4 linked regions of the Notamacropus eugenii genome follow. The protein of the gene in region 4 purifies or fractionates together with the protein of the main gene of each other region. This does not show direct contact. Links are inferred from orthologs where the notes say so. Each region holds a gene or a part of one and is shown on either strand. Other genes may lie near its edges.

Region 1 (7,196 bases), on a different chromosome or scaffold from region 4:
ATTCCAGGAAAAAAATCATCACTGGGAGAAGGGATCTACAGGCACAAAGGGAGAACATAAGTCAGTCACAGTGGTGAAAACGAGAGAATAAGGAATAGATGGTGTGGGCCCTTCCCCAAAATGAAGGTCAGTCAGTCAACAAGTATTTATTAAGAGCCTGTTATGTGCCAAGAAAGGCAAAAAAACAGCTCTTACTCCCAGGGAACTCACAGAGACAACATGCGAATAGCTATCTACAAATAAGATGATATGCAAGAAAAATTGTATAACTGGTAATCTCAGAAGACTAAGGAAAACTGGGAAAGGCTTCTCTTGAAGGAAGCCAGAGAAGCTAGGAGGTAGAAATGAAGAGGGCAAGAGTTCCAGGAATGCAGAATAGCCACTGATAACACTAAGAGCTAGGCGATAAAGTATCTGCTTTGAAGAACAGGAAGGAGGTTACGGAGTCTGAGGAGAGAAGGGAGGCATAATATAGCTATTCCAAAAGCAGAAATGATAGGACTTGACAGCTAATTGAATGGGGGAGAGGGGGTATAACTGTGAGTAAGGAGTTGAGTATGACACCTAGGTTGCAAATCTGGGTTGGCTAAGTGGATGGTGGTGCCCTAGGTGGTGACAATAATAGTTAAGTTAGGAAGATGGGGGAAATTTGGGAGGAAAAATAATGAGTTCATCATATTTGGACATATTGAGTTCAAGATGTCTACAGGACACTTGGTTTAAGAAGTCCAACAGGCAGTCAGTGACTCAAGAATGGGGTCATGGAAAAGTAAGAGCTAGACAAGAAGATCTGAGCATTATCCACACAGAGTTAACTAAAACTTCAGGAGCTGATGAGATCACCAAGTTAAATAGTATAGATGGAGAAAAGGGCCCAGGACAGAGCCTTAGGGGTTAGTAGGTATGGCTTTGATGAAGATCCAGTAAGTGGGATGGAGGAGCATTCAGACCAAAGATCCAGGAGAGAGCACTGTCTCAAAAATGTGAAGAGAACATTAAGAGGGTCATCAACAGCATCAAAGGCCACAGAAAGGTTGATGACTCCCAGATTTAGATACCCAGACTCAATTTTTCCTTTGAGCTTCAGTTCTATATAACCAACTGCAACTAGGGCATCCCCAACTGGGTGTTTTATAGTCATCTTAAATCCAACTTGTCCAAGAAAGAACTTATCTGCTCTGCTAAAATCTCACCTCTTCTGAGCTTTATTTCTCATGAGGATACCACCATTCTTCTAGGTACCCAGGTTTGAAATCTCAGTCACTCAAAATTCCTCCCTCTCCCCTTATTATCCAAATCAGTGGCCATCCTGCCAATTTTACATCACCTATACATCACATTTACCACCCTACCTCTACTTATAGAGCCACAATCCTAGTTTGGGCTCTCAATAACTCTCTCCTGGACTATTTCAATAGCCCTTTGGTCTTCCTGTTTCCAGTCTCTCCTCTCTCCAGTTTATCCTCCACACAGAGGCCAAACAGATTTTCTTATAGGATAAAATGGCCATGTTATTCTCTCACTAAACAAATTCCAGCACCTCCTTATCTCTAGGATAAAATATAAATTCCGTCATTTGGTAGGTAAAGCCCTCTACTGGTTTTTTCAAGTTTATTACACATAATTTTCACACACTCTACTCTGTAGGCCAACTGGCCTATTTTGCTATTCTGTACACATTCAATCTCCCAACTTCACCATTGTACACAGGCTGTATCCCATACGGGGGCATACTCCTTCACTTCCATTTTCTTCAAAGTTCAAGTGCTCCACAAGGCTGATCCTGTTACACTCACAGTAGCGGGTGCCGACATCCTTAATTTACTTTTTATGTAATTTACACTCAACTTTTCTGCATACATGTTGAAAGTAACTTCAATAGACTTAGCAGATTTTTAGTCAATAGAAACTTTGTATCAAGTTTTGTTCTGATACAAAAACTCCCCCTGCCAAACATGTAGCAGCGCTTAATGTTTAATCTGTTAATGAAATGGAAATTGACGAATCAAGAGCTACAGACTTTTTTTCCCCCAGACTTACCGATGAAAAATATCATTCTGCTTAAACATCGTCGACCCAGCAAGGAAACACTGTGGGTACAAATGCCCCCCCACCCCAGACCAGGAGGTTCTGCTGCTGGGAGGTTACATAGGGGTTAAAGCTAAAAGAGATTACAGCAGCCACCTAAGAATTAGAGCTGGAAACGATAGATGCAGATTGAGTTGCTAGAGATGTTCAGAGATTTTTTATTCCAAGAGTTACCTTTTTTTTAAAATTATTTTTTCGTCATGGACCTACGTGTTGATGCCTATGGACCCATTCTCGGGATCGTGTTTTTGAATATACGATGTGAAAGAAAGGGTTACCCCGTCGTTTTACACACACAGCAGGAACGTGAGGCCCCGAGGGGATGCAGGGAACAGTAATACCGGACACTGCTAGGCCCATTTTCATACGACAACAGTGACCCGGGAGGTCCTACGGCCATTCTCTTCCCCATTCTACAGCTGAGAAAAGCGAGGCCCGAGGAGGTGAAATGGCACAGGGGGCAGGGGTCTGAACGCCGGGCTTCTCGGCCGCCGCTACCTTGGTGTCCACGTCGGCGAGGCAGTCCCTGCGGAAGCCGTCGAACAGGCCGCGGCTCTTGAGCTGCTCCACTATGAGCGCGATGAGCTGGGAGTCCCCGGGAGGCAGCGACGCGGGGTTGGTGACGCCGGCCCCTGCGCCCCCCGAGCCCGAGGCCGAAGCCGCCGAGGCCTGGCCGGAGCCGCCGGCCCCGCCCCCCCCGCCGCCGCCCGCGCTAGCCCCCGCGCTCCCTCCGCCGCTGTCCGCCATGGCCACACCCTCGGCCCAGGGCCCCGCCGGCGGTTCTCGCCCGGGGCCTGAGGGGGCGGCCACTCACGGCCCCGGCCTGGGCCTCGGCCAGGCAGCCTTGAAACAAGGCGGCGGATCCCGCTGGAACCTCGGCCTCCGCTGCCGCCACGAACGTGAATCACGTGTCTCAAGTTTCACGCTGAGCACACCACGGTCACTATGCTTTCTGGGGCTGGGAGTCCTTGCGTGGGGAGGACTCGCCTGAATATGGGAAAAACCTCCGCCTGCGTAAACTACAACTCCCATGAGGGAATGGCGGCACCAGGGAAGAGTCACAGAAATCGCGCCTTCCCATGGTCGAACAGGGAATTGTAGTTCTAAGGCCTTTCTTCGCTTGTGCTTGAGAATTCTATCCCAGGTTAGCAAACGATGGTGCCAAATCCCAGATTCGTAAATTTAGAGCTAGAAGGAACGTTAGAGGCCATCTAATAAAATAGCTAGGGGCAGCTAGGTGGCTCAGTGGAGAGAGCGCTGGGCCTGAAGTCAGGAAGACCTCAGACCACATACTAGCCGTGACCTTGGGCAAGTCACTTAACCCTGTTTGCCTGGAGAAAGAAATGACAGACAACTCCAGTATCTTTGCCAAGAAAACCCCATGCATGAGCACTATGGTTCATGGATTCATGAGTCAGCACAATAATAATAAAAGCTAGTGTGTGTATATGTATGTGTGTGTATAGATACGCACTAGCTTTTATTATTATAATACATATTACATATAATTATATCCTACATTGTATATGTAATATATAGATATATACTTTAAGCTTGCAAAGTGCTTTACACATGTTACTTCATGACCCATATAGTCCAGCTCTCCTCTTACAGATAAAGAAGCTGAGAGACCAGAGAAGACTTGCCCATGGTCACACAGATGTGATTTGAACCAAAGTCTTCTAACTTCAGAAGTGACCATCCATAGTACTATGACCAGGGTAGCTAGGTGGTGAAATAGATAGAGTGGCAGGCCCAAAGTCAGGAAGATTCACTTCCCTGAGTTCAAATCTGACTAACCTGTGTGACCCTGGATGAGTCATTTAATCCTTATTGCCTCAGTTTCTTCATCTGTAAAATGAGCTGGAGAAGGAAAGGGCTAACCCCTTTGCCAAGTATCTTTGCCAAGAAAAACTCAACTGGGATCATGAGGAGTCAAACATGACCGAAAAATGACTGACCAACAATAACAGCAGTATGATAGCCACTGTTGTAGCACTCTACTACCATCTCTCTGTGATCACCACCTGAACTTCTATTTAGGAATTCCAATGGGCCGCCCCTATCTCCTCACAGGTCAGGTATGGGCAGGAACCTCATAATTTGCCTCCCTTTTGCTCCTCAAGCCAAATTGTAGTAGAACCAGCAATGGACATAGTGTCCGAAGACCTGAATTTTAATCCTGACTGCTAAATTATTATCTGTGCAACCTTGAGCAAATTATTCAACTTCTCTTTAGTTTCCTCATCTGTAAAATGAGGGGTGGACTCTGAGATGATAGCTAAGTTCCCTTCTAGCTCTAAATCATAAGGTTCCATAAGAACTTTCTTTTTAATCAGTTTAACAATGGGATGTGCTGCTTTCAGAGATAAGAATTCCCTCCCTATCTGATTACTGCCTAAGAGAGACACTGTACAGAGGATTCCTATATGGGTTGGGAGGTAGAAACAACCTCTATGTTCTTTTCCATTTCTTAAGTTGCTATGATGGTAGACTGGTGTAGTGGAAAACTCACTGGCCCTAGAATAAGAAGACTGGAGTCCAAGTTCTGACTCCTGTATTTGGGTTTTTCTTCTCTGGTTTTAATTTCCCATTCCCAAATAAGGAGGTTTTCATTGAGTTGGGGCAGCTAGGTGGTGCAGTGGATAGAGCACCAGACCTGGAGTCAAGAAGACTATCTTCCTGAGTTCAAATGTGACCTCAGACACTTCCTAGCAGTGTGACCGTGGGCAAGTCACTTAACCCTGCTTGCCTCAGTTTCCTCATCTCATAAAATGAGCAAAAGGAATGGCAAACTACTCCAGTATCTCTGCCAAGAAAACCCCAAATGGGGTCATGAATTGGATATGACTGAACAACAACAAAATCTTAAAAGTTCCTTTCAACTTTAAATTTCATAATCCTATGAATACATATGTGTACATGTTATAGGTGTATGTGTGGATACATACATATACATTGCATGCACATGTGCATATAATATATCATAATGTTATAAGTTCAATATGTGTTTATATATTATATAAATTATATATGCCATATACACATGTACATATAATGTATGTATATGCATATATAGATGTATGTATACACCCATAAACACACAAACATATGGAGGTAGGGATATTTATTCTCTTTATCCTTGGTGCTCAATCACACCCTCCAGTTGTGTGGCCCCAGGGGAAGGGAAAAGAAAAAACAATAATTCTAGTCATTTTCACTAAATTCTTCCCTATAGAGGAAACTCAGAGTTCTCAAAGGCTGTGCTAACAGACTGTAAATTCTGACAAGGCTAGAGATCCAGAGAAGCTTTGGGCTAGGAACAAACTGCCTGTCAGCTAAAAACTAGCCTGACTAAATGCAGAAAGAGGATGAATTGTTTTTGACCAGACCAAAGTGTGGAAGAACTGTATTCTACATCAGTGGAGGTAATGAAGGTCCATACCAGTGAAATCAGGGATGCTGGGGGAGTATCTAAGTCAGCCCTGAGAGGAGATGGAACATTAAGCCTTGATGACATAACAATTGTATGAATTCAAGTGACACTGTCCATAATGAGAGCTGTCAATTTCATTAAATACCCTCTGATACTGGAGGGGGAGACTAGGTCATTGGATCCTGGGATTTTCAGACCAGTTGGGGTTGAAAGATCCCCTCATTTTATAGGTGAGTAAATTGAAGTGCAGAGAGCATCTGTAGAAGGAGTGCTAGATTTAAAGTCAGAAGACCTAGATTTGACTCTACTTGTGTGACCTTGGCAAGAGAATTTATCTCTCTCAGTCTCAGCTTCCTCATGCATAAAATAGGTGGGTTGGACTCAGTGACCTAAGGGGGTTCTACCTCTGTGGTCCATCAGAGTGAAAGGGATTTACCCAAGGTTATGTAACTAGTAAGCAGTAGTGCTGGAATTCAAACCCAGGTCTCCTGACTCCAAATCCATTGTCCTTTCCCAGTGCTGAGCTGATGGAACTGTGAGAATAGTTGTGTTCTATATGCAGAATACAACCTCCCAGGTACTGACAGAAATGAGAATGGAGGTTGATCCAAGCCTTGGCACACACTCAGGACCTCAAAAAGTAGAAGCCCATAGGTACTCAAAGTTAACATAGTAAAAATGTAATGCAGGAAACAAACCACCAGGTGACACTATTGTGTTAAAAATCAGACACGGTTTCTCCTGGTTTAGTGTTTTCATTTGCCATGAACCCAAACAGTTAAAAAACCAAAAAACCCCAGAATCCTCCGCCTCTGGTTTTTGTTGTTGTTTACCAGACTGTGATTTCACAGGTAGAGGGAGTGTCAGGTGCTTAATCCAGTGCCTGGCACATAGTAGGCTCTTAGTAAATGCTTATTGATCAATTTCAGTACCCATACAAATGAAGATTAGCACTTCATTGTGAAGAGTTGCCTGTGGCTCGAAGAGCCTCGCCCAAGGTTCTTCAGCTATGGCTTGTTAGGGGCCGAACTTGAATCCAGGTTTTCCTGACTCCAATTACCCATGAAGACTATAGACTGCCAGGATGTGGTTAAAACTTTGTTGTGAAAGATCTCAGGTTACTTAGTAAAGCACAGAAGTCCAGAGAGTTTAAGAGACATGTCCCAAATTACATAGCTGATAATAATATGTAGCATTTACATAGCACTTTAAGGTTTGTAAAGTATTTTCCAAGTAATTTTATCCTCCCAACCACCCTTGGAGGTGCTATTATTACCCTCATTTTATAAATCAAGAAAGTGAGGCACAGAGATGTTAAATGACTTGCCCAGGGTCACACAGCTAGTAAGTGGTTGGATTTGAATTCTAGGCACTGTACCACCTGGCTACCTCCAGAACCAAGATCTATATAAAGTCTAATTAAAAACCAGAGCTGAGATTTAACACAAGCCTTCTAATTTCCAGCCCAATCTCTTGTCCAACAAATCACGCTGTCCTTCTCTACAATCATGCCTGAGTATCTCTTACACAAAATGTCTTCCTGTAGTGCTTTTCTATTTTTAAAAGAATCAATTAGAGCTATTATGGTTGAAATACATTTGGTCTTAGCCCAAGATCTTAGCGTACTCAAGTTTTTTAGGCTCACATTCTTACAATCAATAACTGGACTGGA
Region 2 (6,945 bases), on a different chromosome or scaffold from region 4:
CTCTGCTACAAACCATTGTTGGTGGCAGCGCTCTGTCCCTGGCAAGGCAGTGGCCTGTACAGTTATCTCCTGTACCGGGTGGTATCATAGACCCTCAAACTGTACAAACTACTACCTCAGCCTGGAATCAGGCAGAAGGAAACGGGTTGAGGCTGGAGCTCTTCATGAAGAACAGGGGGGAATTAGGGTGACAAGAAAGGCAGCATCCTTAAAGTACAGAACCAGCAAGGTATCTTCTTTAACTTGGAGCCTAGATAAGAAGTTTTACGCCCATGTCTCCTCATTGCATATAAGGAGGATTTTCAAATCAGGAGAAAAAAAAGCCCAAGAGGAAAAACTTCCAACTTTTTTTAGCTTGCAATCAACATATTTGCTGTGAAGTGAATCCTAGTTATTAGCTCCACCGCACTGGCTACACTATTTACGTATTTAGAAGACTACCGTAGATCACTAGATCAATTTATATACAGAAAAGTCTCCTAAAAATGACACTCCCACCCCCTCAGGAGGAAGCAGATTTACAGGTATGACTAAGACAGCAATTTCACCAACTCTCATTCAGTGACGCGCTGGAGCTAACCAGCAGACTGGCTAGAAGCAGAAATAGTTAGGACGACCAAATACTAGTCGGTCATTGTAATGGGGAAAACCTACACGAAGTGAGAAAGCTGAACTGAGACCAGCCTGCCCGTTACAGAAAACCCTCAGAAGCTTCATCATCAGTTAAGACAAACCGCCCAATCCCAGAGGACTCGAGTCTACAGCTTCAACTGCGATCAAACAGGATCAAATTCAGGCACAATTTAAGTCCCCCTAAGAAAAAGGACACGGCGCCAAGAAAGGCCCAGCCGTCCTTCCGACGGAAGTTCCCCCACGTTAAGGACACGGTGGCAGGCACACCAAGCGCCGTTACCGCGTGCGCATCAACTGCCCTGGACGCGCCCTCTCCCGCCTGCCCTGGGCGTCAGGCAGCTCCTCATCCCGTCTGAAATGACCCTATCTCGGACTCCTCCGGTCCGGGCCTCTCTGACCCACTTCACGCGAGGACCCGCCGCAGGCGCTCACTCACCGTCTATCTTGTTGGAGCTGTACACGACGGTGTTGGCCGCGTGCGTGTAGCGGATGAGGTCCACCCCGTACTTCTTACTGTACAGCGTCCTCTTGGGCCTGCGGAGACACGGAGGGAAGAGCCCCGGGACGGGACGTCACGCGCGGCCGGCTCGGCGGGAGGGCGGGGAGGGGGCGCGGCCCAAACAAGCCTGCCCGGCGACGCCACCCGAGCCCCGAGCCAGCAGGCCCCGCAGCTCCCTCCTTTCAGGGGGCGCGGCCCCTCGGCCCGCCCCTTACCCAGGTTTCGGGGTGTCAGCACCGCACGCTGACACCGGCCCGGTGACCCGGCCGGGCGGATGGCTCCTCAGCACGCCGGCTCCGGGGCTCCGGGGCTCCAGGCTCGGTTCCGCCCCGAGTCCGGCCCGCTGAGCCTGACCAAGGGGGGCACGCCCGGAGGTCCGGCCCACACTTCCGAGAGGCGGCACCGGCCGGGTCGGGCTGGGACCCCGGGGAGCCCGAGGGGCCGCGGCAGCCTGACACGCGTGGGAGCGGCGCTCTCCGCGCCCGGCCGGACCGGGCTGAGGGCTGGCTTCCCGCGCGGGTCCCGGCCCCCACGACACCAGCCCCGCGTGGGCCCCGGGACGCCCACTCTGGGCATCACAGCGTCTTCAGATCAGGAATTCGGGGTCCTGCAGCGTCCAGGGGGGAGCCTAGGGGGAGCGGGGCTGCCCCCCAACCCCGCCCCGGGGGCGCCCCTCTCGGACACAGCTCCTGAGCCTCGCGGGGGGCACCGCGGGGGGGGGGGGGCCTCTGCCCTGCGGGGACGTGTCAGACCCACGTCTCGGGACAAAGCCGTCCTTCGCGCCTCGGTTCCGGGGAGCCCAGACCCCTTCCCCGGGCTCCACAGAGGAGACGCGGCTGCTACAGGGCGGAAACCCGCGGGGAAAGTTTAAATTCCACGCCGAGCCCCAGACGCCCACGGGCGGCAGAGAAGCCCCGGGGTTCACTCGAGGTCACGGGCCGGGGCACGGGTGGCCGGCGGGCGGGCGTCTGCCCCTGCCCAGAAGGCGCCCAGAAGTCACGGCCTCGCTCCCACAAACGCAAGCGGGAGAGCTCGGACCCGGGGCCGTCCCGCACGGGGCCGTCCCGCACGGGGAGCGCCCCGTCCTCCCCGCGCTCCCCACGCGCCGCTCCTCGCTCGGGGGCCGCCAACAGGGGCCGCAGGACGGGTGACCTTGGCCCGGTCCCTCGCCCCGCGCCCCCCCCTCTACCCCGGGACGCGCGGCTCTTTTGTTCCCTCTCCCGCACTTGGGGCCCTCCCCGTGGGAGCGGGTGGGCCGAAGCGCGCGTGTCCGCGCCGCACGCCGGGGGCCGCGCGCGGGAGGGGAGGGCAGGGCGGGGGGGAGGCCGCACTCACTTGCCCTCCTGGCAGTCGTACAGCACGATGGAGTCGTCGTCGCTGCTCGAGATGACCGTCTCGCCGTTGGGGCTGAAGTCGAAGCAGTTGATCTTGTCCGAGTTCTCCCGGAACACCTTGGCCACGCGGAAGCTCCGCAGCACGATGTCCGTCAGCTTCATGGCGCCGGGGCCCGGGGCGGGGAGCCGGGGCGGCGGCGGGAGGGCGGCCGCGAGGGCCGGGGCAGGCCGGGGCGGGGCCCCGGGGAGGCGCGGCGGCGTCCGGGCACACGGGCCGGCCGGCTCGCTGTCCGCTCCTCGGCTCGCTCCTCGGCGTCCGCGGCGTCGTCCCTCGGCCTGGGCCGCGAGGCTGCTTCTCCGGGCTCCTCAGGGCAAGCCGGCGCGGCTCCGGCTCATTGTGTCCGCCATCTTGGGGCGAGAGGCAGAAGCAGGGGGCGCGGGGGCGCGGAACCAGCGCCGCCGGCGTAGTGCACTGTGGGAAAGGAATCAGGCAGGGGGAGGGCTCGCGCGGGCGGGGGGCGGCGGGGAGAGCAGGGGGAACCGATGCGCCGCGGCGCCTGCCGGGATCGTCGAAGGGCGGGGGCGGGGCGGTGACGTCACCGTCCCGGGAGCCGACTTCCGTGGGGCCTCGGTGTCGGTCTCGGGTAGGCCCGCCCCCTAGCGCCGCGGGAGGGGGGGAGGGGAGGAGGGGAGGGGGGGAGGGGGGGAGGGGAGGAGATGCCCTCCCGGGGGCTCCTCCTCCCAGCCCTGGGTGCCCACTGAAGGGATGGGGCCCAAGGGCCAGCTCCGGCTGCCTGCCCCTCCCCCCGCTGTGCCAAGGGCCCCGCGCACGTGGGTGAAATCGGTTTTCTAGGATTTCCTACACGCTTGGCATTCCTGCAAAGGGCTATGGGAGGGTTGTTTATTGCTGCCCCGAAGGACTATGGGAAATTGCCTTCTCCAAGCAGAACAATGAAGGAACCCCTGCCCCTCTTGGGGAGGAATTGCCCCGCCGGCCTGTTCCTTGTATTTACCTCCTAATTCCGTCCCCTCGGCCACGGCGTGCCTCAGGGGGCTGGGAAGCAAGGCGTGCCGGGTAATTCTTCCGCTCAGTGAAGTGACTTACCCAAGGTCAGCTGGCGGAGCGCCACGGCGTGCCAGGCCCCCTGCTGGGCACACACACGCGCGCGCGCACACTCTCTCTCTCTCTCTCTCTCTCTCTCTCTCTCTCTCTCTCTCTCTCTCTCTCTCTCTCTCTCTCTCTCTCTCTCTCTCTCTCTCTCTCTCTCTCTCTCTCTGAAGCGGGCGCTAGAGAGGGGGCTTTGCCAGGTCAGCTGGGCAGGGAGTGGCACAAGCCGGACCCCAGGAGCTTCTTATTGGCATGTTCTGTGCCCCAGGCCCTGCCCCATTCCAGAGAGCCGTGCCTTATGACAAATAGTACTTTCACATGGGGGGAAAGCACCCCTGATCAGTACAGTGGAGCAGTCTAAGAAAAGCGGGGTGCTAACGCTCGGGCCGCCCGCCGCCATGGGAGGTGGGGGCGGGGGAGGGGCCTTCTCCCGTGTCCCGTGTGCCCTTGTTTCTTTGCATGTGTTGTTTCCTTTCCATAACTGCCGGGACCGTGCGTGTTGTTGTCCTGGCTCTGCTTCCCTGCCCCCGTCGGCGTAGACGGCTCTGCTGGGGCTTCTTACCGGGCAGTGCTGTGCCCTTGGTGACCACAAGAAGGGCTGCGTGTCCTGGGGTGTGGGGGCTCGTTCTTCCTGACGGCCCCTTGGGGTGCCCTCAGCGAGGGAGCCTCTGGTTCCCCGGGCACAGGTGTCTGTGCCAGCCACGTGTCAGTGTGCCTGACATCCGTCCTGGGCACTCGTGTCTGTCTGTACAGCCTCAGGCTGTCTGGCATCCACTCCTCTTAGTGCCAGTGGTCTGGAGCATTGGCATGTGGCTGTAAACGTTCTGCATCCTTCTGAGAGCCGCTGGTGCCCTTTGTCACTTACCCACTGAGACACAGCCTTTAGCCTTAGGGAGAGGTATTGATCGCTTAGGTGTCTTGGACGCTGAACCCTTATCGGAGAAATTGGGATAGAAGGTTTTCCCCTGGTAGGATCACCTCCCTTCTCACCCTCCCACAGTAACGCCATTTAGAAGCTTTTCAGCTATCTGTCTTATCCTTTATGATGACTTACAAACTTTATGTATGTAGTGAAAGTCATAAATTATGTATTATTTATTTATACATACTTAGATTTATAATCTCCTCTCCCTCTGGGTGATCAGGGCCGCATCTCTCAGCCCTGGAAGTCCTTTGCTCTTCACCTGGCATCCTGTTGCTTCTCCTAGGGCACTGCAGTCTCAGCAAGGCCTCTGACAAAGTCTGCCACCCATCAGTAGGTCAGGGTCTTCCTGCAGGAAGGTTGATGGCAGTGTGCCCGCAGAAACGCGTCCTTGGCCGCATTCTGGTTAACGTTTTTATCAGTCTAGAGATACAATTTGTTCAGTGCAACATTGATACAAACCTGTCATTTGGATACATGCATGCGTAAGTATCCAAAGTAATCTCAACGGTTCTCAGCAATGGCCAAGCAGATACAAACTGGATTTAACAAGGACAAATAGAAAGTTCATTATCGTAGGATCATAGCTTAAAGCTGGAAGGGACATGAGAAGTAATATAGCCCAGTTCCCTTAGTTCATAGAGGAAGAAACTGAGGCATAGGGATTTGCTCAGTCACCTAGGTAGTAGTTGGCAGAGCTAGGATTCAATCTCAGTTCTGTAGCTAACAGCGAATGCTATCTCAGGCTATAGTAAGAGATGGAGAGTTTTCAGAATGAGCCGGTGAATGGGACTACGTACTCTTCCTATCTAACCACATCTGGACTTCTGGATTACACTCTTCAGTTGTGGGCATAATATTTTAGGAAAGACATAGACGAGGTGAAACTCTTTCAGAGCAGGGCAGTCAAGATGATGAAGGAACAGGAGAGCATGCCATATAAAGTTTGACTGAAGGGATTGTTTAACCTGGAGAAGGGAAAACTGGGGGGGGGTACTAGGGGAATAACTCTTCAAGTATTTAAAGAAGCTTCATATGGAAAAAGGATCAGAGTTTTTTCTGTCTGGTCAATTTTGTGTCCATGTGCAAGTATGATAAGCATATAGGCATATAATGCCTTAATCGAAATTATTCTCTGTTAAATAACCCAGAATCAAACACAAGTCCCTGGAGTACTCTCCTGGAAACTTCCTTCCACATTGACATCAAACCATTAATAAGTCCAGCCGTTCTTTAAAGGATCTTAAATGCCAGAAAGAGGAGTATGTATCTTATCCTAGAGGCAACAGAAAGTCACTTACTTCCCGAGTAAGGGGATGGTGTGGTCAGACCTGTACTTTATAAATAACGATTTGGCAATATACTCCCCTGTGGAGGACAGATTGGAGAGGGGAGAGACTGCAGACAGGGAAGGCATGTATAAACTATTACAAAATCCAGTTGGGAGGTGATGAGCACCTGCATTACGGTGTTGTTCATGGACAGGAAAGGATGGATGTAAAAGGCAGAATGAATGAGACTGGGAAACTGAGGAGATAAGGCATGAGAGTACAGTGCACAGGATGACTAAAAGATTATCAAGCTAAGTGGCCATGGAAATTAAGAGAAAGGGAAAGGATATGCTGCAAAAACATAAATACTGTTCGGATGTGGGAGGCAGGGGGGAAGGAACAGCTGATGATTAATTCAATGTTTTGAGTGTGGGTGACTAGGAGGATGGATAGTAGCACCATTAAGAGAAATAGGGAAACGGGGAAGATGTTGACTTCAGTTTGGGACTTTTTGAATTTAAGGTGCAGAGAGGAGTTGGAAATGTCCTTTGGGCAATTAGATCTACAGGACCAGAGCGGAAAGAGCTTATGGCTGAAAGCATATGTTGAAAGAGTCCTTGGAAGTAATTGAGATCTTTGTGAGAGTGTATTATAAAGGGAAAGGAGGGCTTCAGCTGAAGTCTTGGTGAATACACACACTTAGTAAATTGGAGGAGGACAGTGAACTAGTGCTAGTGAAAGAGATAGAGGAGCAGCCAAAAGAGAAAGAGGAAAACCAGAAGAGGAGAACTCTGATACCTTCTGATAGAAGAACTCTGGTATCTTTACTTTGTCGGGTGTAATAGAAAGGATATATTTTAAAGGTCTGTTTCCAAAGGGAAAGAGGGAAAGTTGAGCATTAAGAAACAAAGCTAAAAACTGATGAGAGAGAAATCTCTAAAGTTTCTGGTTTGAAAATTATTGAGGTAAAATGTGCAATAATATGTAATGCCTTGAATCGACTGGACCCTTAGCAGATAAATGGTTGTTGGATATGCTTCCCTCTTAAGGAATTCTTATACTTTATCGTTAGCTTTTTACCTTCTTAGCTTTTACCTTTAGCTACTAAAATTTCACTATTAAGGCCAAGAAAGTCATAATTTCTTGAAGCTATAAACCATGGAAATGAGTCCTTTATT
Region 3 (7,086 bases), on a different chromosome or scaffold from region 4:
CACAGACCAGAGAATAGCCATCAGTATCCAGGAGAAAGAATGGGGGCAAACAAGCAACTCATATCCCCCGCCCCCAGTTTGTCCTCTTTCCTGTTTTTAGAGGCAAACAGCACAGGCATGTTTTTTTTTTTTTTCACACCGTGGAGGGATTCCTGCAGAGAGGAAGTGCCGCTATCCCTTTAAGAGGGAGTGAGGAAAGAAACACACAGTTGTCAACTCCTGTGCAGGATTGTGAAGCAGCTCGGCTTCATCATTCACTATTTATCAATGAAATAGCTGCCCCCGTTGGCTACCGGGAGATGGGATAGTTTGGTGCCCTTTCCAGGAGAGACCACGAATTCATTCCATCACTTTATTTACAGAAGGCCCCCTTAGTCACTCCCAGCACGTAAAATCATCCCCATATCAAAAGAGACAAACACCCCAGTAAACAAAAGGGGGCCACCATAGCACAGGGGACCATTTGAAACCAAGACACAAAGGTTGGGGGGGGGGGCCTACGGAGGGGAGGCCCTGAGGGAACAGGGTAAATCCAACTGGGGCTAATTTTCTGAGTGGTCCCGGTGGGGGGGGGGGGTGGCCAAGGACTGGAGCATTTTGTAAATTACAGCTTGTCTCCTAGCAACAGACAACACATCGGGCTCCACGTGATTCTGGGGGGGGACAAAAAAGGGGAGGTTTCAGAGGGGAAAAAATTGAGCTCCAACCCCACATTCCCTAAGTGAGAAGAGGGGAAAGGGGAGGCAGTTTGAGGACAGCTGAACGATCTAGATGAGCTGCTTCTGGCTAGTCCCACCCCTCACCTCTCCCCCAGCCCCTTCGGGACCTACCCACCTTTAGTATCCAGCTCCACGTGAATGATGTTGCCCATGACCGAGGTGTTGTGTAAATGCTGCACAGCCTCTCGAGCCCCCTTTACGGTGGCAAAGACCACCTTGGCAATGCCCAAATGTTTCTTGTTCTTGGGGTTGTAAAGGATCTCCACTTCCTCCACCTCCCCATATTTCTTGCACATGTCGGTCAGGAAGTTTTCCCTGATGTTGTCATTCAGTTTGGCAAAAGTCACCTGCTTGGGAGGCACCGGTCCCACATAGAACTCATCGATCTGGGGGAGGGAGGGTGAAATTTGAGGGAAGAAGGGGTAATCGAGATTGGAAAAAAAATTAAAATTCAAGAGGAAGGCTGATCCGGGCAAGCGTCATGCCGCCACAGTGGCCCCCTGTCCCAAACCTTAAGGAGTTAGAAAATAAATAAATATATATGCATATTTTTTTTAAATGCACGCGGGCGGGGACAGAAAGCTGAGGATTAAATCGTTTGGAACGTGGAAGTCCTCGAGTTCGGAAGGAAAGGGGGGATATGAAACAGTTTCTCTCTCCTTCCCCTCCCCCTGCTTCCCTGACGTATGCCCCCTCCCCTGCTCAGGGGCCTTCTCCCCTTTAAATCGAAAGGAAGGGCAGCCCTGAGGGGGGAGTGTTCCCCGGTGCCAGTGACACCCCCTACCTCAAGAGCTGAACCCCCCCATGTCTCTGGAAACACACCCCCTTCCAGGCCAGTGGGACAAAGTATCCACAGCCTCCCTCCCTCCCTCCGGAGTCTAAAATCTGGATGGTTGTTGCAATGTTGACATCAGAAGCCGGGCTGCTCTAAACACCAGTTTGGCCCCCCCCCCCACTACTCCTCATACACACACACACAGACAGGCGGGAACCGGGGCCATGTCCTTCCCAACGGTATTTTAGAACTCGGGGTAATTCCCCCCCATAAGTCCCAAGTTCCCTGGCTAGGGAGAGGGGTCACTACCTTGAATTTGGGGACACGAAGTTCCAACTCCTTGGTTTTTGTCCATGTCCTTCTGACTCTCGGATCCTCGATTTTCACCGAGAGAAAACACTGAGTCTGGGGTGGGGGGGAGAGAAAGAAAAAATAGAGTTCTGAGATTGAAGGGGGGTGGGGATGGGAACACACAACTCCAGGGAAATGTGGATAGAGGAAGCAGCCCCTTCCCCTCCATGCTCCCTCCTTCCCCATGTGTCAAAAGTCAGGCGCTGAAAGAAAGGGGGGGGGGGGGGACGACAAACCCGGCCAGACCTGAAGGAGGTGGGCTGGGAACCTGACAGTTGAGCCCTGTCTGGGGGGTTGGGGGGGGAAGCTACCGAGGGTTCCCCCCTGACGTTTCCCATCGAAAGGGGAGGGGGGAGGTCCCGGCAGATCCTCTTGGTCTTTGGGCCCTGGAAGAAGCAGGAGGAAGAAAGGGGGTGCTATGTACGTTTCAGCAAGCAAGGAAGGAAAGACACCCCCCGCTCCACTCACAGCCTTGCTGAAATGCTGTCCATCGTAACGGTAGAGCTTATGCTGTCCCTTCTTTAGCTCGGGGTCAATAATCAACTTGTAACTTCTCCAATGGTGGTTTCTCTTTTCCCCCGACGGTCCAGGCTGCTGGTGGTGGTGGTGGCTACTGCTCTCCATGCCGTTAACCCAACCTGAAAAACGACCCACACCAAGTTGTGTCTCCTCCGCAGCGGCTTTCAAAAATTAAAAAAGAAAATAGCCCCCCCCCCCGCCAGCCTCCACCCTCCTCCCACCCGAGCCTTCCCCGTTTCCAAAAAACCGGGTGATTATTTTTGTGAAAACGAGAGCGGAGCAGCCAACCCGCCGCCCGCCCGCCCGCCAGGCAGCCAGCCGGCCAGCCACCAGGCTGCCCGCTGCCCCCTTGCCCGGGCGGACGGGAGCGATCCCGGGCTGGGGAGCAGGCAGTGGCGGCGGCGGCGGCCCGAGATGAGCGGCGGTGGCGGCGGCCGGGGCAGGAGGGGGGAGCTCACTTGAACTCTGCTTTTTGCCATGATCTTCGGCGTGGCTGCTCCCTCGCCCCCCGGCCCGGATCCCTCGGAAGGCCATGGTGCCGCTGGGGCTCGGGGCTGGGGGGTCGCGGGCCGCCGCCGCCACCAGCCCGCTCCCGCTCCTCCTCCTCCCAGCCACCCCCCCAGCCTGGCTCCGCCGCGGCCTCCGCTGGCCTCTCCCGGGGAGGGGGGAGGGAGAGAAGGAGGGAAGGGGAGGGGAGGGGAAGGAGGGAGGGGAGAGGAAGGGGGGAGGGGGAACTAGGGAGCCCCTGCTTACATCCCCGCCGGGCGCCGGCCTCCCTGCGCGACCAGCCTGTACATGGTGTTCCCCGCGGGAGCCGAGGCTGGGGCGGCCGGACCGGGGGCTAGCTGAGGCGGCTGCTGCTGCTGCGGCGGCGGCGGCGGCGGCGGCGGCGGCGGCGGCTGCTGCTGCTGCCGCTGCTGGAGGAGGCGGCTGGCGGCAGCGGCTCGGCTCCCAGTCCCCGCACATCCCACAATACACCGCTATGGAGCCCGACCCAATCTCTCACCCTCCTCCTCCTTCCTCCTCCTCCTCCTCCTCCTCCACCACTCTCCTCTCCCCCTGGCGCTCGCAGCAGCTGCGCTGCAACACCCCCCCCCCAGCCAAGGCCACCCCCCAACCTACTCTCCCCCAGCCTGGGGCGGAGGCCCTAGGGCCTGGGCTGGGGGGTGAGGGGAGGCCCTGGGGACGGGCTTTTAATTAATGCATTTTATTATCTCTGGAGGAGGACCGGGATTTTGACTGGGAGGGAGGATTTGGGAAAGGGGGAGGGGGTTCCCTTCCTCCTCCCTCTCCAGAAATCGGTTTCCCCCGGGCCCACAGTGTCCGGGCTGCCAGCGTTTACCTTCGGCTTCCTACACTGTTTTAGAAACAAGATGGACTGGAGGTGGGACCGCCTGACTTTGGGGGGGGGGGGTGTATGTGTATGTGTGTGTTTAAAGTCGAGGGAGGAGTGGGGGAGCCTCGGCGCGGGATCCCCTAGAGCTGCGATCGAGGGATCCCCCTTCCTCTCCTTGGTCTCCCTCTCCGTCCTCCTTGTCTGCCCCTGCACCCCCAGCAACCTCGGAGCAGAGACCAGGATTTCCAAATTAGCGTTACGCTGCAATCACCGGGCTTTGCTGGAAGGATGCAGAACGGCCTCGGCGTGCTTTTCTTTCCTTCTCTCTTCTCCCCCTCCCCCTTTTGGAAGAAGGACTTTTTTCTCCCACCCCCGCTTTTTCTTTGGCATTTGTCGGGGGCACGTCAAATCTATTCCTACCCCCCCCCCCCCGCCCATACTTTCCCCAAACTCTAGTGAGTCCCTTTCTACATTCATTTTTTTTTCTTTATTAAAGGTCCTGGGACCGGCGGCGACCAATCAGCGGGCAGCTTCCATTTGGTCGCTTCTACCCCAAAGCACCCTGTGCTTCTCGGTTACACTATTACAGGGGAGGTGGGGGAGGGAGCAATGGGTATTTTTTTTTCCCCCTTCCCCTCCTTCCTTCCTTGCTCTCTCCCTGCCTCCTCCTGGCTGAAGAGGAGGTTGCCTGTCTTGCTTCAGCTTCACTGTGGTTCGTCTCATATTGGGGGGTATTTTGGGGGTTTGTAATTGGGCCGGGGTGCGGTAATTGGCTGATTCAGGGCGCCAGGGCCCTTGGGCCAATCAGCGCGAAGCTTCTATGGGGCTTGAGTTATTAGACGCGGATCTCCAAACATCCGTCATCAGACAAGCCAAGGAGAGGCCAACATTCAGGGAGCCATTTTTCTGCCATGGAATTAAATGGCCAAGTGGGTTTTCCTTTGTTCCAAAAGGGGGAACGCTTTTCCTTTGACTCCACCATCCAGTGCAGGATTGTCCCGTGTTTTGTCCAATGTTGGTCACCAATGCTAAAGGACCGATGGAAGAAGGAAGACTTCATTTTTTAAAATGATTTTGGATTTTGCTTTTTTCTCTTTATGACCTGGAATCCATCTTTGTCTTGTATAACTAGGTCATAGCCCACCATTAATGTCAGCAGTTTAAAAATTTTGAATCCAAAAAACCTTAAGTAAATAACATATTTATTTACTTTTTTCCTTTTTTTTTTTTTGGCTGGGGGCGTGGGGACGGGGCTTGAGCTGTCTAATCTGTATCCTCTTGACTGAACAATAAATTTTTTAAAATATATATATATAACTTCCTCTATTAAACACTTATACCTGGCCATCTTATTAACTCCTCTCCTTCTCTCTTAACAAGGTAATGTTTTAAATGTAGAGTTTTAGGAAATAATGACTTCTGGCAGTATTAAGCCAAAAAATGTAAACCATTATGCTATGTTCTTTTAAATTCTTCTCTGTTGTAAGTACCCAATCCATTCTGTCCTTATTTCAGTTCAGTGTTCATGTTAATGTTACCTAAATGTCCTAATTTCTGAGCCTTCATCTCTGCATGTCTGTTTTTGTCTTCTTGTCGAATTTCACAACCAAATCTCATGCCTTTAGACGATGAGAGATAGCTTTAGGTTTTAAGAAATGTTTTCTCTACAGTAAATGCTAGCTAGCTTCATTCCCAATTAGTTGGTCGATTTTCTTTAAGCAACCTCTGTTTTGAGGGCGACAGCTCTGGTTTCTCCAGTCTTGGGGGTGGGGGGGAGGGAAGAGAGAAGAAAGCCCCACTCTTCTGCAGAGACTGAACTGGTCACAGGAAACTAGACTGAAACCCCTTCAAAGAAGCCCTAAGCAGTGGCTGGCAAACGGCATTATTAAACTGGGCAGTCTTTGCTTTAGTTGTTGGGGTGACCGGGGTGCGAAGTGGCTAACTCTCCTTTGTCTCCTGTTTTGTTTGAAGCGTCTGTTTTTTTACCTTTTGTCTCTGAAATGACTCTTAATACCCTTGCCCTAACCAGCCCTGCCGGCGAAGCCAGCAAGCCTTTGGCCGAACCCTGGGAAAAGTTTGCTGAATTCGAAGGCGATGAAATGACATGACACTGTAATTGACAAAAAGGTAGTGACCTTCTTTCTCCCCCCCCATAATAATAATCAAACAAACTCCAACAAAATGGTGGGTTTTTTTTCTTACTAATAACATCACCAAACCAACGCCCAAGTTCACCTTCCAGACTCCATTGCGCCAAGCTGAGCACCGGTAAGTAAAAACGTGCCTTTTAAAAGCCCTTGGATCCACACCGGCTAGAGCAGGCCCCGCTGCAGAGTTCATAGAGCCGAGGGTTTCCTGCCTGGGTTTCCAAGCTTGTCGGTTGTAGTTGGCGAGGAGGGGCAGACAATATGGACAGTGGAGAGAGGCTAGATAGAGACACTTTGGGATGGGAGGGATGCAGCTGGGGCTGGGGGTCTTCCTACCAAAAGGACTTGGTGCATTTCTCTTTGGGACTGAGGGGATGTTTAGGGTGACTCCTTTCCTGCCTTCGGAGGGACAGCAGCCTCTCTGCAACCTCCACACCCTTGACCACCCCCGTTGCTGGTGAGGTGAAGGGGTGGGCTCCTCGGCCGCTCTTCTCCATCACCCACCCAGGTTTCTCCCCATTGTAATCCACGATGTGGCAGTTTGAGGAAAACCAAGGAAAACTGGTTTGGGTTGGGTTTTAATCCGACCCTCCAGGGGGGCTCAGTTTGCCAAATTTAGGGGCTTTCCCTCCCGCTGGAAGCTCTTGGGGGGGGGGGGGAACCTTCTTCGATCCTCCTCCCACCCTTCCTGGCCGGGGCAGCCCGGACCCCGGGCCGCCTCGGGCAGCGCAGGGAAGGACCAGGGGCACGGCGTCCATTTTGGCGCCATGACGCAGCAGTCCTTCTTTCCCGGGCTGCTGCAGTCCTGCCTGGTTGTTCTCTCCCCCAGCTCGTTTCCTCCTCCCTCTCTCCCATCCCGCTGCGTTCCGAGAGCGCGCCCAGGGTGGGGCGGGCGGGCTAGGGCCGGGGTTTCTGGGCAGGGGGACGCCTGGCCCGGCCGAGCTGGCCCGAGCTAGGCTGGGTTGGGCTGCTTGCTAATGGCCGCTTCGAGCTTGCTCTCTTTCTCTCTCTTCCTCTCCTGTTGCAGCTGCGAGTCCTGGAGCAGGAGGTGGCTTCGCTGAGCTGCAGGGCCTGTCCACGCATGCCTTGGCTCTGGGTAAATCCTACTTTGGGGCTCAGTTGGAGTGGGCTTAGGGTTGGGGGTTGTTTTTTTGTGTGTGGTTGTTTTTTCTCCTTCCTTTCTTTCTTTTTGCATAGGTCTAGGTTTTAGATGCTTTTATCTTCTCCCGAACACCAGCT
Region 4 (6,838 bases):
CCTTTGGTATTCTGACATGGGTTTTGTTTGTGCCCCCTCCACTCTCCCTCTGTGTGGATGCATGTCTCTCCTTTGGGGTCTGCATGTCTCTGTCTTATCTCTCAGACTTGGTCTCTGTGTTTTGCTGTCTTTCTCTGGCTCAGCCTCTGTGCCTATGTATGTCTTTTTGTGTTAGTGTTTCTGCATGTGTGTGCGTTTGTGTGTGTTTGGGTCTCTCTCTGGCCCAGCCTCCTAAGGTCCTTCCCACCCTGACCTACAGCTTTCTAACATTTCCCCTGCCAGGCTGAAGATGGAGCTGGAAGCTGGTGGTCAAGGTGGTATCACAGGGCCCAGGGGGAGCCCCACTGCGGGAGCTTCTGAAGTCGTCAGTGGTGTAGTTGCAGAGGGGGCCCTAGCGGAGGTAAGGACCCCAGAGTCGCCAGCATTGGTTACTCAGTAGCCTGGAAAAGAGAAAGGAAGGGAGACAGCCATGCATAAGGATGTTACTAGAACTTTGTTCCAAGGAGATCCTTAGCCACTTTTTTGGTCTTTAGCCTGTTGTAGAGCCCCCAACAGCCTGGGAGAAGGAACTGAATATTGACCACAGCCCAGGGAAACATCCTACTGGGCAAGCCTCAGTCTTGTCCTAGAACCTCACAGGGAGTTCACCCATTTGCACCAGGAGGGAGCTGCAGCCTGGTCTGAACCTAGCTTGGAGAGACAGTGTTTGGTCCTTTGGCCCCATCTCAACCATGGGGGACCGTCTGGTATACTCTTTGGAATAAAGAACTCTGTTCTGTTCCCTTTCTCTGGCTGTATTTCTATCCCCCATCCCCCATCCCCCATCTTGTCCTAATGACTTCCTTTTCTTCTTAGGTGGGGTTTGAGCACTCTGTGGGCCCCCATCTCCCAGATCTATATAGTTCTGTAGTATCTCTGGAGCCTCCTTGGTCCATGCCTCCTATATGCCAGGTCTGGACTCATCCTATTTTACAGTGTCTCACACTTGGACCCAGAGCTCTGGTCTAGTCTTCCCACTCTTTTCCTCCTGTAGTGGGGCTATGGCCTCCTCTTAACTCTGACCTTGCTCAAGACCCCAGGACAAAGAACTGGTATATCCAGGCAAAGTTTGAAAATACACCCCTCGGAAGTCTGGATAATGTGAAAATAAAGGATATCCATATCCATATATAGTAATATATCTATATGCATACATATATATTTTTAAAAGAAAATGACACCCCTTTATATGTTCCTGTCTACCAAGGTAATCTTGTAGCTCTTATCATACAAGACATATGCAACACAAAATAAATAATTATACATTATGACATTATGAAAAGCAATATTAAAAAGTAGCACCGTTTGCTTCCTTACTGCATCTTGTACCCTATATAGCAACTTTGCCTTCCTCTGTTTCTAACTCTGATCATAAATTCAACCTCAATAACCCTAATTTTTTATCATCTGACTTTTTATTTCACTATCAAACACAATCCCAGTCCATCCTGATTTTCCATCAGCATTCTATCCACTAATCAAACTGCCAAACTCTTCTCTAATGCCAGTCCCAATTGTCAATTCCTCAATTTTCTCTCCAAGTCCACTCTGTGCTTGGAGAGTTCCCTGCCTACTTCTTTCTCATGACCTTGAGGACTTTCTTGTCAAAGCGCTCTTTAGGTATCTGCAGGAACTTGGTAACATCAGTTGTCCACTGGATCTGACTGGAAGTGATGCCCATCTGGAAATCAGTGGGATGGGAGGGAAGGCTCAGAAGCCCTAAATTCCAATTTCTAGACAACCCTCTCCCCCAGCTTAGCTCTAAATCTTCCTCTCCTATGGTGTAGTGGGATTATACTGGGACTGAAATCCCACTAATGAATTCTAACTGATTGAGTGGACTGGAAGTTCGATCTAAATTCTAATCCTGGCTCTGTCATAACCTTAGCAAGTTAAGTCTCCTTCCTGGGCCTAAGTTTTCTCCTATCTTGGATGAGATCAGAAGCCTATTTCCTCATTTTAACTCACCCTGTTTCCCCTCCATTCCCAAGGGGCCTGGATGTTAAACCAGGTTTCCCTGGCATGGCCACTGGCCCACTTATCCCACTTGTTAAGGAAGTTTTTGATGGCAACGCAGTGGTGGCTGTTTCAGAGCATTCCCCTCAGAGCGTTCATCTCAAGTTGCACATTCCACAGCACAAGAGCGTAGCCTAGACAAGGGAGTGAACAGAGGCTCAGCAGAGCATGAGGAGGAGATGTGTGCCTAGGTCTGAGGAAGGGAACAGAAGTTGGGGACAAGGAGAGGGGAGCAGGAGCCAGAGCTTGAAGACAAGTCCCCAAGGCAAGAGGAATCTTAAAAGGAACAGAAAACAGCATGCCTGCATCTGTGAGGGAAATGGAAGCTGAGAGAGAAGGGTGTCTATACCTCAAGAAAACCCCAGGACTGAAGAAGAGGCTAAGTGTGGGGGGATCCATGAAGAGAAGCCCCACTTACCTTAGTAGGCCCTTCCAAAAGCATGGTGTGGGGAAAATCAATATATTCTTCATCACCTGAGAACATTCAGTCAGCTTCCCACTTGCTGCTGACCACCCATCTGTGAAAAAGAGAGGCCATCATCTCCTGTCTTCTCTTTTTTCTTTCTTTGTCTTCCCAGCAATTAGAAGGGTGCTTGGCACATAGTAGGTGCTTAATCAATGTTCACTGACTGGCTACCTCTCACCCAAACCATTGGAATTGCTTCTAAAGTGCTGTCACTGCTTCCAGTCTCTTCTTCCTTCAAATAGCTGCCAAAATCAGCCTCCTGATTCTTAGGTATGTCCATGGCATTAGTGATTCCTCACTGTGTAGGGAACAAAACACAAACCTGATTCCAGCACGTGAATCTCTTCAATCTCCCTTGTGCACTTTGCTAGGTACTCCTCCTCCTGATGCCCTCTAGGCATAAGCCCAGCTGTGGGCTCTTCTCTATCCTGTTTTTGTCTTGGCCTTGCCTCCTGCTGTACTTTTGCTTGGTTTGTCTCTCAATGTCAGGAGTAGAGCTCTCGTAGCAGTCCCTGTAAAAGTGGAACCCGATGCTTTAGGTAGTACCCTTTCCTTAGGGGTTCTCAGAGGCTGGTGGCGGAAGGGATTTTTGTTCATGTAATGGCTGATCAAGAAGAGATCAGTGTGGCAAGTTAGGTGGCGCTGCAGGTGGCTCTGCAGTCAGGAAGACCTCAGACACCTACTTACTGGCTGTGTGACACTGGACGAGTCATTTGGCCCTGTCGGCCTCAGTTTCGGCATCTGTAAAATGAGCTGGAGAAGGAAATGGCAAATGACTGCAGTATCTTTGCCATGAAAACCCCCAATGGGGTCACGAAGAGTTGGACATGATAGAGCAAAAGCAATAGCATGGGCTGATCTAGAGGCCCACGAAGGTCGTTCGGGCTGCCCTTCCTGCCCACTTGCCCATCAGGTCGGGCTCTTGGGGCGTAGCTGGTAACGTCTTTCACTTTCACTGCTCACTTCCCTTTGGTGGCACTTGGGCCTCAAGAACTTCGTGCGCTCGGGAAAGGGCAGGGGCGGGTTGGGTGGCGGGATCACGGCCCCAAGAGCCGGAAAAGCTCCAGGAAGGCAAAAAGCCAACCCAAGCTTCCCCCACCCCCACTCCCCCCCCCGGGGCCCAAGGCCGCCAACGCGCCTGCGTCCTAGCCCGGCCGCCGTCATGCTCCCTTCACCTCCCAGAACCCGGAACCTTGGCCCGGGCGGGCCTCCCTCCGCCCAGCAGTTCCTAGGCAGTGCGCCTGCGCGCCTCCGGGCCGCCGAGGCAAGGCAGCATTGAGCCTGCGCACGCACGGCTACGAGGCCTCGGAGGGCTGAAAGAACCGGAAGCGGAAGTGGGTCCGAGGACAACTCTCGCTCGGAGAGGCTCCCGTTGTTGTCTCGAAGGAGTCTCGAAATCCCGGCGCCGCCATGGTGAGAACGAGGGGCGGAGCCGGCCCGGGGCAATCCCGGGGGGCAGCCCGGGGGAGGAGGCTGAGCGGGTCCGGGACGAGCCCGGGGGCCTTCCTGCAGGACGAGGTGGCTGGGGGGCCCCACTTGGGTGGCTTTGGGCGCCGTCCGGGGAGGAGGGGCACCCCGGGGAGCACGGAAGGGGCGGGGGCATTCCTCAGTCTGGGGGGACATCCGCGGAGAGGGGCGGGGCGGGCAGGGAAGGAGGGACTTGGCGGGGGGGGGGGGGGGGGGGGGCGCAGCAACCATGGCCGCCGCCCGCAGCAGCCCAGGTCCTGCGATCGCCCCCCAGCAAAGAGGCTAGGAGAGGCCTCCCGGAAGGTCGTGGAGTTTAGGAACGGAGGGCCTGGAGGCCTCCCTGGAGGAGAAGGAAGGGAGGGGCAGTGACTGGGAAGCAGTTCAAGCCGCCCGAAGGTGGAGGCGGAAGGGGAAGGTCTAAGGTCACCCCGGGCGGACTCCAGGGCTGAGGAGGCGGGGGCGGGGAAGAGATTTCCGGAGAAAAATTGTAGACCTGGCTCGGGGTTCGGGACGAGGTGGGAACGTGAGACCTAGAGGAAAAGACCGAACTGAGGAGGGAAGACTGAGTCAGGGCCGAGCCTGGGCGGGGCATGGAGGAGAAGGGAGGAGGGGAGGGGTCTGGGAAGTGGGCGGGGGCAAGAAGACTGAGGGATTCCCTCTGCTTTTGTGACCTTACAGGAGAGTGAGTTTTCAGACCCAGAGCCTGGGGCCACCGGCGGGGAAGAATCTAAGTCGGACATCGGGGAGAATGCGCCCATTTACTGTGTTTGCCGGAAGCCCGATATCAACTGCTTCATGATGTGAGAACACCCGTTGTAGGGTGTAGGTGGGTGGGCTCAGTCTGGGGAGCTCTCTGGAGGAGGAGTCAGGTTTGATTGGCCATCAGGAGGGCTCCTCCAAGCAGGACCGCAGGGCTCGGCTCCCCAAAAGAGCTTTTGCACTGGGGAAAAGAGGAGCATTTATGGAGATCCTCCTTCAGAGAGCAGGTCTCAGGTTCCCATGTGTCAGACTTAACTTCCAGAGAAGCCTTGTAGCTGAATGCACTGGAAAGGGGCCCCTAGCTTTCCAAGCCTCACACACATCTCAGATTCTTTGCTTCTGTCCCTTGTGCAGTGGCTGTGACAGTTGCAATGAGTGGTTCCATGGTGACTGCATCAAGATCACAGAGAAGATGGCAAAGGCCATCCGGGAGTGGTACTGCCTGCAGTGCCGGGGTGAGTCTTGGGGGGTGGAGCCTGGGGGTTATGGGGGCCCATTTAGGGGGAATCTTGGCTAGCAACAGAGGGATCCCTCAATCTATGCCCATTTCCCGGACAGAAAAAGACCCAAAGCTGGAGATCCGATACCGGCATAAAAAACCATGCCGTGAGCGTGATGGGGAACCCGAGACTGAGCCCAGGGACGACGCGACCACCCCAAAGAGGAAGGTTGCCTCAGATCTCCTTGTAGAGACTGTGGGAAGTGGGCCCATGACCATCCCCAAGGGCTTCACCTCTCCCCACAAGGCCCCACCTCCCTCAGCCCCTGGGCCTGGACGAGAGGTATCCAACCAGGTGAGCTTGGAGAGAAGTTTGACACTTGGAAATAGAGTTGTAAAATCTAGGGCTTATACCAGGAGGAGGGAACTTTGAGTTGGAAAAGAATATGGGGTCCCAGGGTTTTATGGTATATCCTTCTTTATTGTAGGGCATTTATGATGATAAAAGATCTTCTTAGAACAGTGCTAATCCTAGGAGTGTCTCTCCCCCATGTTCTGTCCTCCCCTACTGTATTCCCCCCAACAGCAGATCAAACGGTCAGCCCGCATGTGTGGGGAGTGTGAGGCCTGCCGACGGACAGAGGACTGTGGTCACTGTGACTTCTGCCGTGACATGAAGAAGTTTGGGGGCCCCAACAAAATCCGCCAGAAGTGCCGTCTACGGCAATGCCAGCTCCGAGCCCGGGTGAGAGAGCACAAGGTGGCTCTAGAAGGTTTGGGCCTAGCTGACCCCCACCTAACCCACACCTCCCCTTTACCTCCCGCACGCTTCTCTTTTCTCTTTTTCTAGGAATCCTATAAGTATTTCCCTTCCTCGGTGAGTCTGGCATCAGCTGTGGTGAGTGTTGGGGTTAGGACTGGAAAACATTCCTCTTCTTTGGGGTACTGCCCTTCCAATAACCCCAAGTCCAGGAACCATGTTGGGGGAGGGGCAGCTTGGCCCATTTAGGGGGCAGTTGCTAGAATTGCTAATTCCTGCAGACCATTCTGTATCCCCTGTTCACTTCCCTCTTCCCCACAGTATATTAGAAGGAGCCCCAGGCAAGGATCAGGCAGCTCAGGCCCTTTCCCCTCTCTGGGCCTCCCTTCCCTCCCATTAAGAGCATTGATCTAAGGGATTGCCTCCTGGTTCTGCAATCTCCTGGGCTGCCCACCTACAGCACCCGCTGCTTCCTCCATAGCAGAAACTTCTTCGGGCACGGGAAGAACATTTCCAGATGTTAAAGGAGCCCCCAGAGGCCGTGGCCACCCCTGAAGCCCTCTCTGATGAGGATCTGCCTCTGGACCCTGAGCTCTATCAGGACTTCTGTGCTGGCGCCTTCGATGACCATACTTTGGTGAGGGGCTGGGCCCTGTTCCTTCTTGTGCAGATTAGACTGGGCCTCTGGAAAGCCCCTTCACGTAGGTCCTTTATCTGTTTTCTCTGCTTAGAACCTTGGAGTGTCTTCTCCAGCATGAGGTAGCATGAAATACGGACTGGGTGCTAGATTTGGGGTGTAAGCATGTGGGTCGGAAGTCTTGGGATCTTTAGGCAAGTTATTTCACCTGGGGCAAGTAATAAGATTGGATTTCTACAGCCTCCAAGGTCTATT

What was found.
Region 1: the proteins of CXXC1 (region 4) and BOD1 purify together in Homo sapiens (affinity purification with mass spectrometry; 4 studies listed by BioGRID and IntAct, counting the BioPlex papers as one, with this or other methods). This does not show direct contact. The link is inferred for Notamacropus eugenii from reciprocal best matches to the Homo sapiens genes CXXC1 and BOD1.
Region 2: the proteins of CXXC1 (region 4) and WDR82 purify together in Homo sapiens (affinity purification with western blotting; 7 studies listed by BioGRID and IntAct, with this or other methods). This does not show direct contact. The link is inferred for Notamacropus eugenii from reciprocal best matches to the Homo sapiens genes CXXC1 and WDR82.
Region 3: the proteins of CXXC1 (region 4) and SETD1B purify together in Homo sapiens (affinity purification with mass spectrometry; 11 studies listed by BioGRID and IntAct, counting the BioPlex papers as one, with this or other methods). This does not show direct contact. The link is inferred for Notamacropus eugenii from reciprocal best matches to the Homo sapiens genes CXXC1 and SETD1B.

What each region holds. Positions count from the first base shown.
Region 1 is NC_092872.1:405,794,182-405,801,377, forward strand, and holds the start of BOD1 (biorientation of chromosomes in cell division protein 1), read right to left. Parts: upstream 3,009-7,196; 5' UTR 2,836-3,008; coding exon 2,587-2,835; intron 1-2,586. UniProt on the Homo sapiens protein: Required for proper chromosome biorientation through the detection or correction of syntelic attachments in mitotic spindles.
Region 2 is NC_092872.1:2,352,166-2,359,110, reverse strand, and holds the start of WDR82 (WD repeat-containing protein 82), read right to left. Parts: upstream 3,007-6,945; 5' UTR 2,629-3,006; coding exon 2,468-2,628; intron 1,168-2,467; coding exon 1,070-1,167; intron 1-1,069. UniProt on the Homo sapiens protein: Regulatory component of the SET1/COMPASS complex implicated in the tethering of this complex to transcriptional start sites of active genes.
Region 3 is NC_092875.1:37,038,793-37,045,878, reverse strand, and holds the start of SETD1B (histone-lysine N-methyltransferase SETD1B), read right to left. Parts: upstream 3,024-7,086; 5' UTR 2,899-3,023; coding exon 2,823-2,898; intron 2,484-2,822; coding exon 2,314-2,483; intron 1,900-2,313; coding exon 1,804-1,899; intron 1,106-1,803; coding exon 835-1,105; intron 1-834. UniProt on the Homo sapiens protein: Histone methyltransferase that catalyzes methyl group transfer from S-adenosyl-L-methionine to the epsilon-amino group of 'Lys-4' of histone H3 (H3K4) via a non-processive mechanism.
Region 4 is NC_092879.1:101,929,941-101,936,778, forward strand, and holds the start of CXXC1 (CXXC-type zinc finger protein 1), read left to right. Parts: upstream 1-3,838; 5' UTR 3,839-3,931; coding exon 3,932-4,039; intron 4,040-4,176; exon of another isoform or gene 4,177-4,384; intron 4,385-4,396; exon of another isoform or gene 4,397-4,503; intron 4,504-4,666; coding exon 4,667-4,788; intron 4,789-5,101; coding exon 5,102-5,202; intron 5,203-5,305; coding exon 5,306-5,541; intron 5,542-5,772; coding exon 5,773-5,931; intron 5,932-6,036; coding exon 6,037-6,084; intron 6,085-6,427; coding exon 6,428-6,583; intron 6,584-6,838. Other genes in the region: synaptonemal complex central element protein 1-like, read left to right, coding at 283-400, 534-629. UniProt on the Homo sapiens protein: Transcriptional activator that exhibits a unique DNA binding specificity for CpG unmethylated motifs with a preference for CpGG.